Oryctolagus cuniculus: one gene and its partners. The protein of the gene in region 3 binds, or shares a complex with, the protein of the main gene of each other region. Links are inferred from orthologs where the notes say so. Each region holds a gene or a part of one and is shown on either strand. Other genes may lie near its edges.

Region 1 (6,386 bases), on a different chromosome or scaffold from region 3:
AAAGTAAGAACTGGAACATTTGCTCATTAATTTTTTTTTTTATTTAACACTCACTACAAAGAAGGAAAAATGGAGGGGCTGGTGTTGTTGTGTAGTGGTTAAAGCCGCCAGTTCATGTCTCAGCTGCTCCACTTCCAATTCAGCTCCCTGCAAATGGCCTGGAAAAGGCAGGGGAAGATGGCCCAAGTATCTGGGCCCCTACCACCCACACGGGACACCCAGCTGAAGCTCCTGGTTCCTAGCTTTGGCCTGGCCCAAGTGCTGACTGTTGCAGCAATCTGGGGAGTGAACCAGCTGAGAGCAGCTCGCTCTCTCTCTCTCTCTTTCAAAATAAATAAATTTTTAATGAAAGGAAAGGAACTATTCTCTATTTTGTATGATCATCATACAATGTTACTCACTTCCTGGCTCCTCTACCACACTTCAGGTTAGACCTTGTGGACCCTTCTGTCCATAAGGGCTTCTCTCTTGCTGCTTTAAATTGCAGTGGGTAGAATTACAAGATAAGGGAAGCAGCTGATTTGCACTTTAAAAATCTCAGTAGAGGGCCGGCGCCTTGGCTCACTAGGCTAATCCTCCACCTTGCGGCGCCGGCACACCGGGTTCTAGTCCCGGTTGGGGCGCCGGATTCTGTCCCGGTTGCCCCTCTTCCAGGCCAGCTCTCTGCTGTGGCCAGGGAGTGCAGTGGAGGATGGCCCAGGTGCTTGGGCCCTGCACCCCATGGGAGACCAGGAAAAGCACCTGGCTCCTGGCTCCTGCCATCGGATCAGCGCGGTGCGCCGGCCGCAGCGCGCCGGCCGCGGCGGCCATTGGAGGGTGAACCAACGGCAAAGGAAGACCTTTCTCTCTGTCTCTCTCTCTCTCACTGTCCACTCTGCCTGTCAAAAAAAAAAAAAAAAATTCTCAATAGAAGACTTCATATTCCTCTCATCTCACCAAGTTTGCTTTCCTCTGGAAACTTAGTCATAAGATTATTCCTCCACATGTGCAGTTTGGGCAAATTTACGTAACTGGCAGTAGTAAACATAGGATTAGAAAAAGTGGCAGCTGTAAGCAAGGATACTGCAATAAACCAGGCAAGCGATAGTAGGCTGATTTAGGATGGTGACGGCAGTAATAGAAAGGAGACTGGTGCAGGAAAGGAGACAATGGGGCAGGTGCTGTGGTGCAGTGGGTAAGAACCGGTGGCATCCCATATCAGAGTGTGGGCTACTCCATTTCCAAACTGGTGTCCTGCTAATACACAGGGAAGCAGCAAATGATGCCTCAAATACCTGAGTCTCTGCCACCCACGTGTTAGACCCAGGTGAAATTTCTTGGCTCCATGCTTCAGCAGCCATTTGGGTAGGATCTCTGTCACTCTGCCCTTCAGATAAATAAATCTTTAAAAACAAAGAGACCGAGAGACGGTGAAGACCGAATGAATACAATTTGGTTGCAGAATTAGCTGTGGATGAAAAGAAAACCAGAGATGCCTGAAGTGGGTCGACATCCCCTGAGTCTTTGTGGCTTTGGACATAATTGTGGCCCACCACTTACCTACTACCTTTGGAATTTTGTCACTCATCAAAGCCTAATTTCCCTCCTCTGTAAACAGGGATAATACCCGCCAAAATAAGACTGACGCCAAGCTGTAAGCCCAGTGCACCGTACATAGCAAGCAACAGGCAGACACATGGGCAGTTTTAACGGAATAACAGAAATTTAAAACAGGAGCCACAGGAAGGCCTTTGGGTGGCGGGTCCCATCTCTGAGCACCTGCGCCCTGAGGAACAGGTTTTTGGAGGCGCTCCACACTTGGACTACGGACGCTCCTTCCCCTGGGGGATCCTGATCACCCCCATGGAGTCCAGGCAGAAACTGGATTGCAGGATGCACGCTGAGCTAGGAGCCAAGGCTTCCTGCTCCCTCCATCTAAGAAACCATAGGGCTACAGTGCTGACGCGGACTACCTTTCAGTCTCAACTGGTGGTGGAGGGGCGCAAACACAAGGACGGCCAGATCTGACCAATTGCACGTATAGGCAAGAGGGGCTCAAAAAATAAAGACCTCGATTGCCTTCCGGAGGCAGAAGCACCGTCCGGGCGTGCTTACCTCGAAGACGGAAATCAAAGAGCGGCCTGGGTTCGAGCCCCCAAGCCACGGCCCCCCGGTCGGTAGTACGACGTGGCCGCTCATCGTGCTCAGCGTTTTCCGTCTGGGAAGGGGGTAGGACAGGCATGACTGTTTTTGGCCGCGCCTTCCACACCTAGCCCAGTGCCACGTAGAGCCTCCGCTGCGAAGTCGCGCGCAGCGACGCCTGACCAGGACCCAGGGCGCCCTGACCGGCAATTTCCCTGAGGTTGCTGGGGCCAGGCCTGGAGGGTGGCGTCCTTTGGCTTTTCTCTTCCCAGGCAGCTCTGAACTATGTTTATGGGACGTTTACTGCGCTCTAATAAAACAGCAAATAATCAAAACCCGCAGAGCTCGAATCGCCAGCTGAGGCGCCGCCGCGCCGCCCCAGGGCGAGGCTGAGGACTACCGCTAGGCACCGCGCGGTGGCGCCAGGGCGGCGCAGGAAACCATGGCAACGCTTTGCGCCGTCTGCTGCGCCGCGGGTGACGCCGGCACAGCGAGCGCCCCGAGCGCCGGATTATGACGCAAGCGGTGGCGCGGCGGCCTCGCGGTCTCGCGTGACCGCGGGCGCAGCCTGCCGGCCTAGCAACAGCGGCTGAGGCAGAGGCCGAGGCAGGCGGGGTCAAGATGGTGGCTCCCCGGGCGGGGGAGGCGGTGGAGGGAGGAGGAGCCAGACCATAGGCTGCCGGAAACACCGACACCCAGAGACCTCCCGGGGAGCCGCCGCCGCCGCTGCCGCCGCCGCCGCCGCCTCCGCCGCCTGCTCCAGCTCGAGAGACGCGAGCGGGCGGCGGGGCGGGCCGTGAGGGAGACAGAAGGGGAGGGCGGACGGGGCGGAGACACCCGCCGAGCCCCCGCCCCCGGCCGCGGTCCCGGGCCCTGCCCCGCGCGGCCCTGCCCGGCCCGCCCAGCCCCGGTGTGGCAGCGGCTCATGGCGGCTGTGGGGCCCCCGCAGCTGCAGGTGCGGATGGCCCACCAGCAGGTCTGTGCGGCGCTCGAAGTGGCGCTCCGGGTGCCCTGCCTCTACATCATCGACGCCATCTTCAACTCCTACTACGATTCCAGCCAAAGCGGGTTGTGCATCGTGCTCCAGATCTTCCTCCGGCTCCTTGGTAAGGGGACCGGGGTGCCTGCGCCCTGAACTGCTGTGCGGCCCGCGACGTGCCCCGGGGCGCGGGGCAGCCGCGCGCAGCCCGTGCTCCGCGTGTGTGTGGGAATGTGTGTCTTTGGGGACCACGGTTCGATTCCCCACGGGGCCGTCTTTGCAGGGTGGGACGTGGAGGAGGTGGTACTCGTCTCGGAGGTGACAGCGGCGCGGTCCTCGCCGCCAGCCTGCGTGTGGGCGGCGGGAGAGCCAGGGGTGTGTGAACCTGCAGTTTCTCCTGGGGATTGAGTGCTGACCGACCGTGTCCTGTGCGGCAGCCTTGGGAAAGCCGCTCTGCTTGTCCCTGTCGCGCCGTGCGTGACCTTGGACTTGCGCCAAGGCGTGGACCTCCGTCCCCCCCCCACCCCCGAAAAATTCAGAGTGCCCGTGCGGTCCCTTGTGCCGCACCCGCGGGTCCACAGGATCGCGGAGAGTCTGCGGTCAGTGGTGACATCCCAGCCGAGGCTCTGAATGTCAGACCTTGGAACCGTTACCAAAAATCCTCCCGAGAAAGGCGATACTAATAACGAGATCTTCCGTTTTCCGTGAATAAACGAAAAGGCGTTCGACGTGATGTTACAGTGTTGGCTGGCAAGTAGGAAACACTTGCAGAATTCCACCCGGGAGATCGTTGTCTTTGTTGCATATGGATGGAGTATTGGAAAGGTCTCCATCTTCACTTGCACGCCCGGCGTGAGAGGCATTGATGTGTACAAGAATGTTTTCTAAGGCATTGCAAACTGGCAAATGTTGTCGATGAGGTCACTGTTGCGATCAGGCTGGTAGGCTGGAGCTTTTGAAGTGTGAATGAGCGCTGGCTGGTGGTGGGGTCCTTAGCAAGCTTTTCGGAATTAGCAGCCATCTGTTGCTGTATTCCTAAGGCGAAGGAGTGGCAATAAAAGCTGAATTTTATTCTCAGCAGTAAGCGACTGTCCCACAGTTGTCTGCTGTCGCACAGCACTGGCGCTGGTGCTGTCTGACCTAACCTTCAGGCATTCCTTGGAGGTGAGCGGTGTTCTCCTCACTTTACGGATCGGGACCCTGAGCGTCCCAGGGGTCAGTGTTCTGATACCCCGTGGGTAGGTAATTGTCAGCCTGGACTTCAAAACCCTGTGGACATCAGTTGTGGATCAGCTCCCTCCTCCGGGCGCTGTGATCCAGGTACATGATGGTGTAGTAAAGATCACGTGCTGGGTTTCAAAACTGAGAGACGTGAACTTGGCGTTCTGTAGCACCAGACTTCTCAGCAACCCGTCGCTACCGAGTTCCCGCTGCTCTTACTTAACCCTGCGAGTGTGTGCTCATCACCGGGATTCGTGGCCAGGATGGGACTGCTAGGAGGATTCTGCATATTCATTCCAGAAACAGCACAGCCACTCCTTGAGTGTTCTGAGGGCATACTGATTGCAGTCTGCAGTCGCAGAATCCCTTGGGGACCTGGTCTTCAGTGCAGTGCCCTGTTGAGCTTTTCCCTTCCAGGACAGGGAGTATTTTCCCCAGTTAAGCCATGTGTAGTTTAACGACACTGAACAAAGCAGTCTGGTGTCTCCTTGTATTCTCCATGCTTCTTGTTTTTTGTAATAAGTCACGGACGTTTATTTGACAATTTTAAAGAACGGGACTTAAGGGGAGTGACTTACATGCTCTGTGACTTCGTTTTCTTTACCATCTCACAGGATGTTTGGACAATAAATGAGTAGAAATGTAATCTCTTAAAAGAGCACTTTTGGATATGTGTTAGCTCTTAATAAACTTGTTAGCTTTTTAAAAATATTTTAACGAGTCACTTCAGACTACATGTTCTTATGATAGCATCTCCAAGATTTTGATGCTGTTTATTTCAAAATTTTGATTCTAGAATATTGTTTAGGTTTGATTTTTTTAAAAATATGAAAGTTTCCAAATATGTTACTTATACTGTACCAGTGTAATTATGCTAACTTTTCAAATATTTGAGAATAAAAATAAAAAAACTCGTGTTAGTAATAAAATAATTCACCCTAAAATGAATATGTTATTAAAAGTGATAGTTTCATATGCAAAAGGTCCCAATAGATATTGAAATTAATTTTCTGCCAGGTTAATGTTTTTGTAGTTGGAGACTTCCTAGAACTACTGTTATACTCAATGGTGTCAACCTCACCCTTTTCTTTAAAGTTAATTTGTAAAAATGGAAATCTATCTGTATAAAAGTATTACCAATTTTATTTATAGTATTTAAAGTATTTATTTCCCCTGACTACAAAGAGGTGCTACAATTGTATTCTCATTTGCCATCAAACTAATTTGAGATTTAAGTAGGTCAGAAAATAAAGCATTTCATTTTGGAGATTCAAACAGAATTGTACAAGATACAGATTAGAACATAAAGTTGTTTCTAAGGAGTTGTTAAATGCTAAATGAAACTCAACCCAAAGCAGCAAAATGCTGAATCAGCAATTTTAAATCCAGAAAGTGCAAGCATAGGCGTTTGCTTTAATAGTATTACTCATATGGTGATAATTCATCTAGGTGGGAAAGGACTTTCTAAGACATAAAATAAGATGCAGAAATTACAAGGGAAAATCTGATAAATTTGAGTACATAAAAATGAAAACATTTTTATGGCATAATTTAAAAAATCCTTAGAAAAGACAAGTCAAGGGGGAAATCATTGTATCATATGTGATTTCTTATTCAATAGGAAAACCTTATACTTCCATAGAAAAATAGGCCTGGCAATTCACAATAAACAAAATGCAGAAGTCAATAAACAAGAGAAAAAGTACTTAGCTTCATTTGTAATTAAAGAAATGCAGTCAAAACAAAATTTTACTTATCAGATTGGTGAAGAATTCATTGTTTGATTTGGAAGAAGTTTGGCATTTTACCTATTTGAAATAGGTAAATTTATACAATTTTGGTAGACTACATAATTTCCATGTAAAATGGTTTGGCACTGGATTGGGCCTTGTGGCGTAGCAGGTTAAGGCACCCCTTGGGATGGCCATAGCCCATATTGGAGTGCTGGTTCGAGTCCCAGCTATTCTAGTTCCAGTCTAGTTCCTGCTAATGACTCCTGGGAGGCAGCAGATAATGGCTCAAGTACTTGGTCCCTGACACCCACATGGGAGACCCAGATGGAAAT
Region 2 (6,249 bases), on a different chromosome or scaffold from region 3:
ATAAACTTTTGTGGATCTTGCATTTGCTAACTAAAGAGGCTGGTTTTCTGTTTTGGTTTTGTTTTTGAACTTTACCTTTTGGTGTATTCAATTAGGAGGTCAAACAAGTAAGGCAATGCTAGAAATTTTTCTGTAAAGTCACAGAATTATCAAGTCATCGATATTTCTATCTATGAAAAGGGCCTTAGAAATCATTCAGACCAATTTCTCATCTTACAGATGAGGAAAAGTAAGCCTAAAAAGCTGAATGTATTGGACATGACCATAGAAATGCTGTCTCAGGGCCAAGATACCATCCAGGTTTCCTTCGACAGCATTCCACCAACAACATTATACCAACTGCAGAATACCCCAAACTTACTCTGATTTCTCAAAGTTCCCGATTTATGTTCTGGCATCAATTAATTTAGGGTTGTAATGTTTTCATGACAACATAATTTAGTCTAAATTCATGAGACTGATGTTCAGATCTCATGTCTCATCACCCACCCTTTCACATACCAGGCTCTATGGTGCGATTTTTGTTTTTCCAACCATAAGCACCCACCATAAAGCACAGCCTCACCATAGCTATATATCTACCCTCAACGTCCAAGGAAGGACCATATCTTCTGTGAAAATGGTCCTCAACCTCATCTAAGACAATGGCCCTTTATATGTCTCCTAAGGATTTTATACTCTGCCTTGGACTGTGGTAGTGATGACTGCATTAGGTGCAAGAACCTCAGGAAAGGGTGTCCCAGGGTTCTTGTGCTTTAAGTCCTGTTCCTCTTTGCAATTAATGTGTATTTTAAAATAAAACAAATGTCTTTTTAGGCTAAAATTCACCATAAATATTTTCTAGAAGACAATTCCTTAGTGTTTGAAAACAGTAGGATTGGAATAGGCATGAACATACAGGATCCACATTGTTTTACACAGTCTTGATGTCACACATTTTAAAGGTATTGTTTCTTTCCTGTCTGCTTTTTTTTCCCTAATTCATTAGTTTTTTCAGTATAGTTAGCTCAAATACACACACACACATAGGGTTTAAAAACCTGCAAGAGTGAAATTTAAGAGCTAGAGAAAATAAGGGTCACATAAATACTTGCCAAGTAACTTCTGTTGTAAATTTAATTTCTATTTCATTTTCCAGAAACAAACATGCCTGTAAAAGAGTGGAAACATAAAAATTCAGTTTATCATTTACCAGCTCAAAATAAAGGAAATGAGTTTCGCCAACTGGCACTTCTTTGCAAAAATCTATTACGCAATTATTCTAGGCTTGAATTTCACCTAAAACCTTCCTGAAGACCATAGTAACCTGACCACAATCATAATGTATTTTAGGTGAAGCCACGTCCCAAAAGGTGATTCGTGGGATAGCCCAGTAGTGTAATATACTCAAGAGAGACTTGGGCTTTGTCTTTGATTTATATAGTTACATTTCATAGCAGGAAGACAATTCCTTATAACGAATACTACAACTCCAACTACTTCTTGGCGCCCATACGGCTTGCATATGCACTCATAGGCTCACTGGATTCACAACAATCTCCCAAGATCTCTCAGGGTTGGTCCAACGTTCTAAAAGCACCATTTCAAGCCAAGGGAAACGAATGCTTCTGACAAGAGGTTACAAGGTTTTCTCGACCTGGGTGTAAACCTCTAAGTACCGTCCTTCAGAGAACTATGGTCTCCAAACCGCATTACCTGGCCGTCCTTGGCGAACGATCAGGAGCGAAAAGTGCACAGGATGCTGCGGGATGGAGGGCAAACCATACGTTTCTCCCAAATAAGTTAGCACTTGGTAAGGAAGGCAAAGGGGCCCAGAGGAGAGCTGGGCACAAGCACAGATAACAGCGTTCTTAGCAAGAAGAACTTGGCCCCTGCGCACCAGCCTCGGCGGCGACCGCGCTCGGAGACAAGGAACACGCCGAGCGCCACGCCCCTCCGGGGGTGTGTGCGTGTGTCTGTGCACGATCCCCCTTACTCCGCCCACAGGGTCTGGGCAACCGTCACAACGAAGGCCTGGTCAGTCAACAACAGCTGATCCGGATGCCTCCCATCACATAGGCAGTCCACGCCCACCGCCAGACGCCAATTTCCCGCAGACCGGAAACCTCGTTGCCCCGATTCGCTAACCTGCCAGGTAGTGCCCGCGGTAACCGGAAGCTCTTTTGCCCCGAGCACCGGCGCGCGGCGTATCAGCCGCACAGGCGCAGTGGGGCTTGGGCGGAGTTGTAGGCGAGGAGGAAGAGGCGGAGGCGGGGGGTGGGGGCCGGTCCCAGAAGATGGCGGAGGCGGGGGTGAGTTGGGGTCTCTTGGCGGAGCGCGAGTGAAGAGGTGCAGAGAGGAAGCGGCCCGAGGAAGAGGGTGGTCCCTCGGAAGAGGAACTACTTGTGGTTTTGCAGCCTGGGAACACTGGCGGCAGGTGCGGGTGGCTAGGACCATAGATGGGGCCTGCAGGGCGAGGGGCTCCGCTCACCTGGCGAGAGGTCGGCTAGTTCCTGAATGGGACAGTGGAGTCTGGGAGGGGTATTAGGAGAGGCCGAGGCTCCCGGGACGGCGCGGGAGTGAATGAGTGGGGAAAAGCCTGGAGGACGCCGGGAAGGACGACCCTGGAGGTCTGATGAGGGGAGGTCGGCGAGCTGTCAAGCATAACGCTGTCAGGACTCGCGTGGCCTGTGGCCGGCGAGACGGAGCTCGGGCTAGAGAGCGGGCTGTGGCTACACAAGGTAGGGACTTAGTAAGCGTAAGGTCCATCCGGAGAGATGACACGGGGCTGAGGCCGTTGGCAAGTTGGTTTGGATACCTCGGGGGTAGGTGTGTGATTAAAGCCAGTGGGGCCTCTTGCCAGGGCCTGGAAGTCGGTTGGTGATGGTGACCGGAGTTTGAGGGTCACTCGGTGGGGACTGGCGATGTGGAGGAGGAAAGTCGTGGGAGTGACGGGGGGCGGGGGTCTAAGGGTCCTAAAGTGATAACGACGCGTGCCCGGTGAATGTTGGAAAAAGTTGTTAAAGAGTGGTACTAGCCAGATGGCCTAGGAAATCATGCTGTGAGGCACTGGCTGTTTTGTAGAATTGGTGAGGAAATGCATTAAGAAGGAACGGGGAGGCTTGACCGCGGGTGCACCGAAACTGGCCGGCGTCAGTATTGCAGTGGAGCAGGGGTGATGCAGGGGAAGGCGCGCTCCAGCCCTGGTGCAGGAGAAATGAAGCAGCCGCGCTGTGGCTAGCTGGTGCTGTCCAACTTTTGGCTGTGATAGCAGACCACGGAGTGCAAGTGGAAGAGGATGCCCCTACCTATTGGGGCTGCATGGAATAAAATTTGCCCTGCACTATTCCCGTCCCCCTCCCCCCTTCATTTAATTTTTTTCTCTAGACTTTGTGCTCAGTATTGCCTTTTGGCGCAGTGTGTTTTGTCCTAGTTCTCAGTTCGTGTCTGGTTATAAAGTGACCACGCTGTGAATTGTGTACCTTTGGGAAAGAGATTAAAGAGGAAAGGATAAAATGCAGTTCAGGAATTTAAGGACAGCTTGCTTTTACTGTCAACAGAAAATTCTCCCCAAATCTTAGCCTAGCTTTTTTTCAGGACTAAGGTTTGACATTGAAAAGCCATAATGGGTTCTCAAATGCTACTTGCTTAGTGGTTTCTGTGTGTGGGTTTAAAAGTCAAGAGAAAAGAGTTGACATGGCTTCCAGGCAAACATTTTTTTTTCCTTCCTGCAAGTTTATAATGTCCCTAGCATATGATTCATATGTGTGTGTGTTTGTGTGTGTATGTGTGAAGGGGTAAACTGTTTCCCTGATTTAAGTGTGTTTTTCTAATGCTTATTTTGTTTTTGAGAATGTCATTTTGAGAGAGAGCATATCTTGAAAAAGATGTGAGGTAGTAATTTAACTTTATTATTTAGTCGTCTGCCTGTCCTAAGCACCTGGAAAGCCAGGAATCTGAAGCAGCAGCCGTCCTTCTGTGACTCCTTATCACTGGAGGGGGAATGATCCTGATGCTTGGGTCAAGGGGGTGTTGTAGTTGTTAACAACCTGTTAACTAGGGTTCCAGCCTGCTCCCAGGGCTACTAGGAGATTTTTTGGATGTGTGTGAGCGGTTTCAGTGGTCAGCATAAACTTTGATTTCCATTCTCAAAGTCCACAATCACAGCCCTCTTTCATTTATCTAAAAGGACTAATATCAGGGCCGGCGCCGCGGCTTAACAGGCTAATCCTCCGCCTAGCGGCGCTGGCACACCGGGTTCTAGTCCCGGTTGGGGCGCCAGATTCTGTCCCGGTTGCCCCTCTTCCAGGCCAGCTCTCTGCTATGGCCCAGGAGTGCAGTGGAGGATGGCCCAAGTGCTTGGGCCCTGCACCCCATGGGAGACCAGGATAAGTACCTGGCTCCTGGCTTCGGATCAGCGCGGTGCGCCAACCGCTGCAGCGGCCATTGGAGGGTGAACCAATGGCAAAAGGAAGACCTTTCTCTCTGTCTGTCTCTCTCTCACCGTCCACTCTGCCTGTCAAAAAAATAAATAAATAAATTTAATATCAATCCATGGACAGGGGTCGTGTGCCTGGAACAGTGCTTTCCTGTTATTGATGATTTATTATCGAGTTCTCCAAATCATGTAAACTATTTTTCTTTCTGTGCAGTAATCTACTATGTAAATTTTTGAAAACATCATTTTGGTATTAGTAGTAGTTTGTCAATATGATTTTGAAAGCTGTTTCTGTGTGGCACTTCAGTGGTTGACATGTAGTATTTGTAAATGGAGGCAAAGTGGTCAAGTGGGAAGAACTCTGGACATGCAGAACGGTTGGGCTCAGCCCTGATGTTATTTGGTCACAGTTTTGTGATTCTGAAAAGTTAATTGATCTATTTTGTTTTGTAAAATGTGCTTAAAAGCACCTACCTGTTTATCAGGATTGTTGCTGAGTATCTATTAAAAAATTGCCCTTAAACAATATCTATACCAGAGACTTCTTTTCTAGTTGGCAAGTTACTGGTCATATAATCTATACTTTTCATGTATTTTTTTAAAATTGGGAGTATCAAATTTATCATTGCTGTTAGAGCAATAGTTAAAGGTATATGGCTGTGTGTTTAAGTGTAGTACCTAAGACACTGCTTAGAACACAACATTCCTCACTGGAATGTCTGAGTTTGAGTCCCAGCTCCACTCCTGATTCCAACTTCCTGTTAATGCAGACCCTGGGAGGTAGAAGGTGATGACTCAAGTAGTTGGGTCCCTGCCACACACATAAGACCCACATTGAGTTCCTGGTTCATGGCATGTGCCTAGTCCAGCCCCAGGAGGTACAGTCATTTGGGGATTGAACCAGTGAATGGAAGATCACTATCTCATTCTCTCTGTTTTTGAAATAATAAGAAAAATTATAAAAAATTAACCCTCTTTAAAAAATAAACATACAGGTATACTTTGATCTTTTTAAAAGATCAATTTATTATATTTTATTTTATTTTAAAGATTTATTTGAAAATAAGAGTTACATAGAGAGAGGAGAGGCAGAGAGAGAGAGGTCCTCTGTGCGCTGGTTCACTCCCCAGTTGGCCCCAACTGCTGGAGTTGCACTGATCTGAAGCCAGGAGCCAGGAGCTTCCTCTGGGTCTCCCACACAGGTGCAGGGGCCCAAGGACCTGGGCCATCCTCTACTGCTTTCCCAGGCCATAGCAGAGAGCTGGATCAGAAGTGGAGCAGCCGGGCCTCAAACCGGTGCCTATATGGGATGCCGACACTTCAGGCCAGAACATATAACCCACTGACCACAGCACTGACCCCTCAATTTATTTTAAAATCAGAGTTACAAAGAGAGAGGGAGAGACAGAAAGACCTATCATCCATCTACTGGTTCACTCTCCAGAGGGCCACAACAGCCAGGGCTGGGCCAGGCTGAATCTCAGAGCCTAGAGCTTTGTCTGGACCCATGTCTGGATACTTGGATGGCAGGGGCCCAGACATTTGGGCCATCCTCCAATGCTCTTCCCAGGTCATTAGCAGGGAGCTGAATTGGAAGTGGAGCAACCTGGACACAAACCAGGTCTGTTTGTGTGTGCAGTGTGCCGGCACTGTAGATGGTGGTTTTACCTACTGTGCCACAACACTGGTTCCTATAATTTGTTTTTAAGCAAATAGTATCAACACATAATCGGAAAAAACACAATTCACTTAAAAAACTTAAATAAAAAGATACTTATTCCCTAGAACTTTCCCTTGAGTGTAACCCTCTCTGCCACCGGGTGACTGATATT
Region 3 (6,408 bases):
TACCCACTATGCCACAGAGCCAGCCCAGGCTTCTGTCTTTTTTTTTTTTTAAGATTTATTTATTTATTTGAAAGTCAGAGTTACACAGAGTGAGGAGAGGCAGAGAGAGAGAGAGAGAGGTCTTCTGTCCGCTGGTTCACTCCCCAATTGGCTGCAACAGCCGGAGCTGCGCCAATCCAAAGCTGGGAGCCAGGAGCTTCTTCCGGATCTCCCATGTGGATGCAGGGACCCAAGGACTTGGGCCATCTTCTACTGCTTTCCCAGGCCATAGCAGAGAGCTGGATTGGAAGTGGAGCAGCTGGGTCTCGAACCGGTGCCCATATGGGATGCTGGTGCTTCAGGCCAGGGAGTTAACCCACTGCACCACAGCGCCAGCCCCAGGCTTCTGTCTTTTAAAGTAAACTCAGCCTCTACTTTTCATGATTGTTCTGAGGATTAGATGAGAGGAGGTTTGAGAATGGGCCCAGGGTAGAAGGTCTAGTACTGAGAATTTTTTTTTTTTAAGATTTATTTATTTGAAAGGCAGAGTTAGAGGGAGAAAGAGAGAGAGCTTCCATCCACTGTTTCAGGCTGAATCTAGGAGCCAGGAGCTTCATCAGGGTCTCCTACGTGGGTGGCAGGGGCCCAAAACCTTGTGCCATCTTCTGCTGCTTTTCCCAGGCCATTAGCAGGGAGCTGAATTGGAAGTGGAGCAGCCAGGACATGCCAGCATCGTAGGCAGTGGCTTTACCCACTATACCATAACATTGTTAGTAAAATGGTATCGTCTTCCTAAGCCCAGCCTGGCTTATTAGAAGTCAGGTGAACAAACGGCCCAATCACAAGCATCGGCTCCACCGCTACCACTCTGGGATTTGCTGCTCCCACTTCCCTCCCTCTGCAAAGCCAGGTAGGAACTGTTCTAGCACAGGCTGCTGTTCTCTTCTGCACGGGGACAATAAACCTTTTCCCTGACTCTGGTGTTTGGTGTGTCTGGTGGTAGCCTTTCCTTTCAAACATCAGCCCCTATTTAGTGAAAACTAACATTGGGTATCTGCAGCTTACCTGGAAATGCATCTACAGTAAGATGGACTGGGGAGGGCATTCAGCACTGCCGTGAACGCGGCGCTTGGTACACTGCACCCCATGTTAAAGTGCCTGGGTCCGAGTCCCAGCTCTGCTTCCAGGTCAGCTTCCTGCCAGTGCACACCGTGGATGGCAGCAGGTGAAGTCTCCAATACTTGGGAGGTCCTGAGGGAGTTCCTGACTCCTGACTTCAGCCCAGCCTGCCTCGGCTGTTCTGGCCATTGAGCAGTGAGTCAGCAGACAGATGATGGATGTCTGTCTGTCTCTCGATTTTTAAATAAATTTAAAAAGAGAAATGGACAGGTGAATAAAGGCAAAGATGTTTTAGATAAATGCAAGATATTAAGCAACGCATCTGCAGCTGTAGCTTCTAGGGCACACGGGTATTCCCCGTATGGCTCTCAGCTTTTCTGTATGTAAGGAAGGAGAGTGACAGCAGTTCCCAAGACAGTCTTCCTACTCCCTGTCTTGTAGTTTGCTAAAAGACAGGCTCGTGACCCTCTCTGGAGAGAAGACTTTGGTCCAGAGGGCCTAGAGGTCAGGAGTCCTCTGATTTCACTTTATTCTCTGGGTGGACCGATGCTCACCAGGTCAAACCGCTGTCACCAGCGCCAGCATCCCATTTGGGTGCCAGTTCGAGTCCCAGCAGCTCCATTTCCCATCCAGCTCCCCGCTAATGTGCCGGGGAAAAAAAAGGATGCCTTGGAGGTGGGACTTGTGCCACAGTACGTGAAAGCACTGTGTAGGAGGCCCAGATCCCAAGTGCTGCTAACAGCTGCACCTGTTGCTTCTGTTAAGTACAAACAAGACAGTTCTTTTGGCAATGGAATGAAAGATTCCACCATAAGCCAATAGCCAATGCTGAACATTGGGTGCAGTCCTGATGCTTTAGGCCAAGGCCAGCGGACCCCACTTGAGTTTGATTTCACTGTGACAGTAGCATGGTAGGCAGGGAAAGTCGCCTCTGAGCATTGGCACTTTCCGCTACACTCCGAGAGCTGGGTCCAACGGGGGCCTGGGATGGGGACGCAACACAGTAAACATCCAGTGTGGCCGTGGCACGGAGAAAACGGTTCAAAGCCGGTCACCCAACGGCACAAACCTGATCGCCCACGATCCTCCCGCCTGGAGAGGACCCCGACCACACGTCGGGGTCGCCCCAGACCCTTCTCGCATTGTGTGCTTAACAAACATGGGCCCGTGTCCTCCGGCTCGCTCCGAACTGTCTTTCAGGAGCCGCTTTCAGTGCCGGTGATCAGTCAGGAAGCCGAGGCAGTTCCTTCGACCCGCCTGGCTCGCGTCTCTCCGCCGCCTCTCAGGGACGCCGGCATCTTGTTGCGCGTTCTGACCGCTCTCCCGAGCGCGCTGTCACAACCTCCGGAGCGCACCCTGGGCCCTCCCCCGGCGTCGCAGTGCGCCCACATAGCCGCCAGAGGGCGAGCGGGAGCAGCGGGCGGGGCGCGACTGCGGCTGCGCACGCCGCTGGAAGCGCGTGTGGAGAGAGGCCGGGCGAGAGGGGAAAGGTAGGAGGTGAGAGGTGAAGGGGCAGCGGGCTGCGCGGGCGCCGGGCGGCCGGGAGAGACCAGGGGAGCGCCACGCACCAGACCGCGGGCTAGGAGAGCGCACGTCGCGCCCCGTCGCCACCGCCGCCGACCAGGAGCCGCCGCCGCCACAGGTACCGCCGCGCGCGTCCTCGCGACGCGGGCCCCGGCTCGGGCCTCCAGCCGCGCGGACCCGGGAGTTCCGGGTGGCGGCAGCCGGCGTGCGGGGCGCGCGGGCGTGGGCGCTGTCCAGCAGTGGTGCGGGCGGGCCTGGGAGCCCGCAGTCCCGCGAGGGGCCGGGCAGGGCCGGCTCGTTCCCACCCCCACCCGGCCGCGCCCCCGCCCCCGCCCCCGTCCACCTCCGGGTCCCTGGGGCCGCCGCCGAGGAGGGGGTCGCGCTCCGTGGTCCAGCCGCCCCGGGCCGCTGTCGGTTCTAGAACGTGCTGTGCGTACAGTCTGGGCGTTCCCGGGGGCCGGGGAGAGAGTGAGGCGCACCGCTGCCCCTGGGGGGATGCGGGCACGGCACCGCCGCGCAGCTCGGCTTTCCGTTGTGTGCGCCGCTCGGACCTAAACTTTGCTCACTGCCGCGGCTTGTGTTTACTTGCAGGGGGGTTTAGTGCCTCGGGCGCCCCTGGGCTTAGAGTGACGGTAGCGCCCGTGTCCGCGCTGCGCCCGGAGGGTTGTGCAGATGGCGGGGCTGCAGGGGCGGCGAGTCCCCCGGGGGCGCTGGCGCTGCTGCCGCCTCCGCCTCCGGGTGGGGGTGACCGTCAGGGCCGGGCCGTTAAGGACTCCCTTCCTGGGCCTGTGTGGGGGCGCAGAAGAGGCTTCCTCTGGCGTTAGCTGTGTGTGCCTTCCCTTGCGGCGTCTGGTTGTCCAGCGTCCTCCCCGGTGCTGTGCTGGTGATGGACGCTCTTACCGGGCGGTGGGCGTCGAAGGCGTCTGCTCCGTGCGTGCTCCCGAGTGACGCCTGACTGGAGACTGGATCTTCCTTCCTGCGTGTTCATCCCGGTTAGATTTTAGGTGTTCCAAGCATTTGCAGCCTTCCCACTGGGAACGTGCTGTGAAAGTCTCTAAAGACTATCTCCACCTTCGTTCTTTTGGCTGTGAAGTTGAAAGAGTTGGTTTTCATGGCTTAGGAATTGATCTGGTGTGTGAAATCTCTTGTGCACCTTCCCAGAGGCCTCATGTATTTTATAATCGCTGGTTAAGCCCCCACCCCCACCCCGCCTTTAGGTTAGTTTGCTGTCAGGAGGGTGGTAAAAAGTTTACTCCTGGTTGATGACTAGAAAATAGAGGTGCACAGTTTTGGCTTGTCTGAGGTCATACGTGAGCGTGTCGAGAGAGCCATGCTGTGGGCCTCCGTGCACACGTACTCTTGTATGGTTTGTGTCATCACTGCCACTGGCGGGTGAGCGGATTCCTGGAGAAACGGGGCTCCCAGGGTCGCCCTACTTGTAAATGTGAATCAGGCCTTCAAACCAGATCTGCCAGGCTCTGCCTCCTGAGTTGCTTCCATTTGCAACTAGCTACCTTCCTGAGTTGGCTAAGGAGGCAAGGTTCAGGGCCGACTTCTGCCAACTGAAGTCATCGTTCTGGGTCATAATTACTAAGTTTGTGCTGGCAGGTGCTGTGCTGGGTGCTCCAGTATTGGTGTGTTTCACTTGATCTGCACTATCAGATGAGGTGATGTCACTGTCACCCGTTTTATACTGGAGATGTAGAGATTTACCTTCCTGGCCCTGGGTCGTCACCCAGTGAGTTAGAGGCAGAGCCCCTGGGCAAACCTAGGTTGATCTGACAAGAGTCCGTGCCTTTATGCGGTTTTTGCACCCGCTGGCTCAATCGTCTCCATTGCTCCACTGGCAGATGAAGAAGGCAGTGGGTGATGGAGGAAGCCAGTGTCACAGATAGTGGAACTCAGTAGGTCAGGGTCACTGAAGAATCTTGTGGGGTTGCTGGATTGACCTTTGTAGTGGAGACCAGAGGTGTGCAAGCATTAGGAATGCATGTCTGTGTGTGTGTGTGGGGGGGTGGTGGTGGATATTAAAACTGGTCTTCATTTGTATCTCAGCCTTTTAAATTTTACATTATGTAGTTTACAGTGTACATTCTATTATCACAGCACACCTATATACTTTATATATAAACACATACTGAGTGAGTGTGCTTTTAACTTTTGTTGTTGGAATTGATTAAAACATTGAAGAACATTGGCTTTGATATTTAGCATTTTCTGAAAGCATAAGATACACAAAGTGTTGTGTATCTGTTTGTTCCTCAGCAGAAGTAATTGCACTTGTAATTACACTTAATCAGGAAGAAAGGTATTTCATATTAATACCAATTACAAATTGTTTGTAAAATTGCAGTCACAAATATGAAAGAAGGTCTTATATCAATAGTCTGTCAAATATGACACCAGCCTTAAATTTAAACCTATAGAGACTATATAGCCTCTTAGACAAGATTAGAAATTTAAACTTTTTTTTTTTTAAAGATTTTATTTATTTGAGAGGTAGAGTTAGACAGGGAGAGACAGAGAGAAAGGTCTCCCACCTGCTGGTTTATTCCCAAAATGGCCGCAACGGCCGCAGCTGTGTTGATCCAAAGCCAGGAGCCAAGAGATTCCTCTGGGTCTCTCACGTGGGTGCAGGGGTCCAAGCACTTAGACCATCTTCCGCTGCTTTCCCAGGCCATAGCAGAGAGCTGGATTGGAAGTGGAGCAGCTGGGACATGAACCGGCACCCATATGGGATGCCGGCACCACAGGCAGAGACTTAGTCTACTGTGCCACAGTGCTGGACCCTTAGAAGTTAAGCTTTGTTTGGACCTCCTTTTTATTTATTTATTTTTTTTGAAAAAGATTTATTTATTTATTCGAAAGGCAGAGTTACAGAGAGGAAGAGGCAGAGAGAGAGATCTTCCATCTACTGGTTCACACTCCCCAAATTGTTGCAGCTGTGGGAGCTGGGCCATCCGAAGCCAGGAACCAGGAGCTTTTCCAGGTCTCTCGCGTGGGTGCAGGGGCCCCAGGACTTAGACCATACTCCACTGTTTTCCAGCACTTGGGGGAGCTGGATCAGAAGTGAAACAGCTAGGACCCATATGGAATGCCAGCACTGCAGGTGGCAGCTTTACTCGCTACACCCACAGCATCATCCCCCAGTTCTTTATTTAAAAAAATATATATATTTATTATTTGGGAGGGAGAGACCACAAACTAGGGGGAGAGGGAGATTCCATCTGCTGGTTCTTTAACCAAATGCTCACAACAGTCAGGGCTGGGCCAGGCTGAAGCCAGGAGGCTGGAACTCTATCCAGATCGCCCACCCAAGTGTAGGGGCCCAGGCAGTTGGACCCTCACTGTTGCCTTCCCAGGTGCAGTGGTGGGGAGCTGGATCAGAAATGGAGCAGCAGAGGCCGGCGCCGCGGCTCACTAGGCTAATCCTCCGCCTGTGGCGCCGGCACACCGGGTTCTAGTCCCGGTCGGGGCGCTGGATTCTGTCCCGGCTGCCCCTCTTCCAGTCCAGCTCTCTGCTGTGGCCCGGGAAGGCAGTGGAGGATGGCCCAAGTGCTTGGGCCCTGCACCCCATGGGAGACCAGGAGGAAGTACCCTGCTCCTGCCATCGGATCAGCGTGGTGCGCTGGCCGCAGCGCGCCGGCCGCGGCGGCCATTGGAGGGTGAACCAACGACAAAGGAAGACCTTTCTCTCTGTCTCTCTCTCTCACTGTCCACTCTGCCTGTCAAAAAATAAAAAAAAATAAAAAAATAAAAAAGAAATGGAGCAGCAGAGACTGTCAC

The links.
Region 1: SCAP (region 3) and RNF139 share a complex: the UniProt entries of both Homo sapiens proteins name them as parts of the SCAP-SREBP complex. The link is inferred for Oryctolagus cuniculus from reciprocal best matches to the Homo sapiens genes SCAP and RNF139.
Region 2: the proteins of SCAP (region 3) and INSIG2 are in contact, whole or in part, in a cryo-EM structure (PDB 7ETW), measured with the Homo sapiens proteins. The link is inferred for Oryctolagus cuniculus from reciprocal best matches to the Homo sapiens genes SCAP and INSIG2. Residues at the interface, in NP_036367.2 of Homo sapiens: Pro200, Ser206, Val282, Ala283, Glu284, Ile286, Pro287, Thr290, Ile294, Ala297, Tyr298, Phe301, Lys305, Tyr351, Val354, Val355, Glu359, Thr409, Leu410, Val411, Ser638, Tyr639; in NP_001308258.1 of Homo sapiens: Phe41, Val45, Leu48, Leu49, Ile51, Val55, Leu57, Phe58, Pro59, Val62, Ser65, Ile66, Glu104, Trp105, Ser106, Met109, Arg110, Val112, Ala113, Val114, Val116, Gly117, His120, Gln132.

Annotation. Positions count from the first base shown.
Region 1 is NC_091437.1:150,138,242-150,144,627, forward strand, and holds the start of RNF139 (E3 ubiquitin-protein ligase RNF139), read left to right. Parts: upstream 1-2,735; 5' UTR 2,736-3,046; coding exon 3,047-3,227; intron 3,228-6,386. UniProt on the Homo sapiens protein: E3-ubiquitin ligase; acts as a negative regulator of cell proliferation through mechanisms involving G2/M arrest and cell death.
Region 2 is NC_091434.1:115,976,531-115,982,779, forward strand, and holds the start of INSIG2 (insulin-induced gene 2 protein), read left to right. Parts: upstream 1-1,985; 5' UTR 1,986-2,134; intron 2,135-2,208; exon of another isoform or gene 2,209-2,720; intron 2,721-6,249. UniProt on the Homo sapiens protein: Oxysterol-binding protein that mediates feedback control of cholesterol synthesis by controlling both endoplasmic reticulum to Golgi transport of SCAP and degradation of HMGCR.
Region 3 is NC_091441.1:101,359,785-101,366,192, forward strand, and holds the start of SCAP (sterol regulatory element-binding protein cleavage-activating protein), read left to right. Parts: upstream 1-2,481; 5' UTR 2,482-2,588; exon of another isoform or gene 2,589-2,740; intron 2,741-2,933; exon of another isoform or gene 2,934-3,051; intron 3,052-6,408. UniProt on the Homo sapiens protein: Escort protein required for cholesterol as well as lipid homeostasis.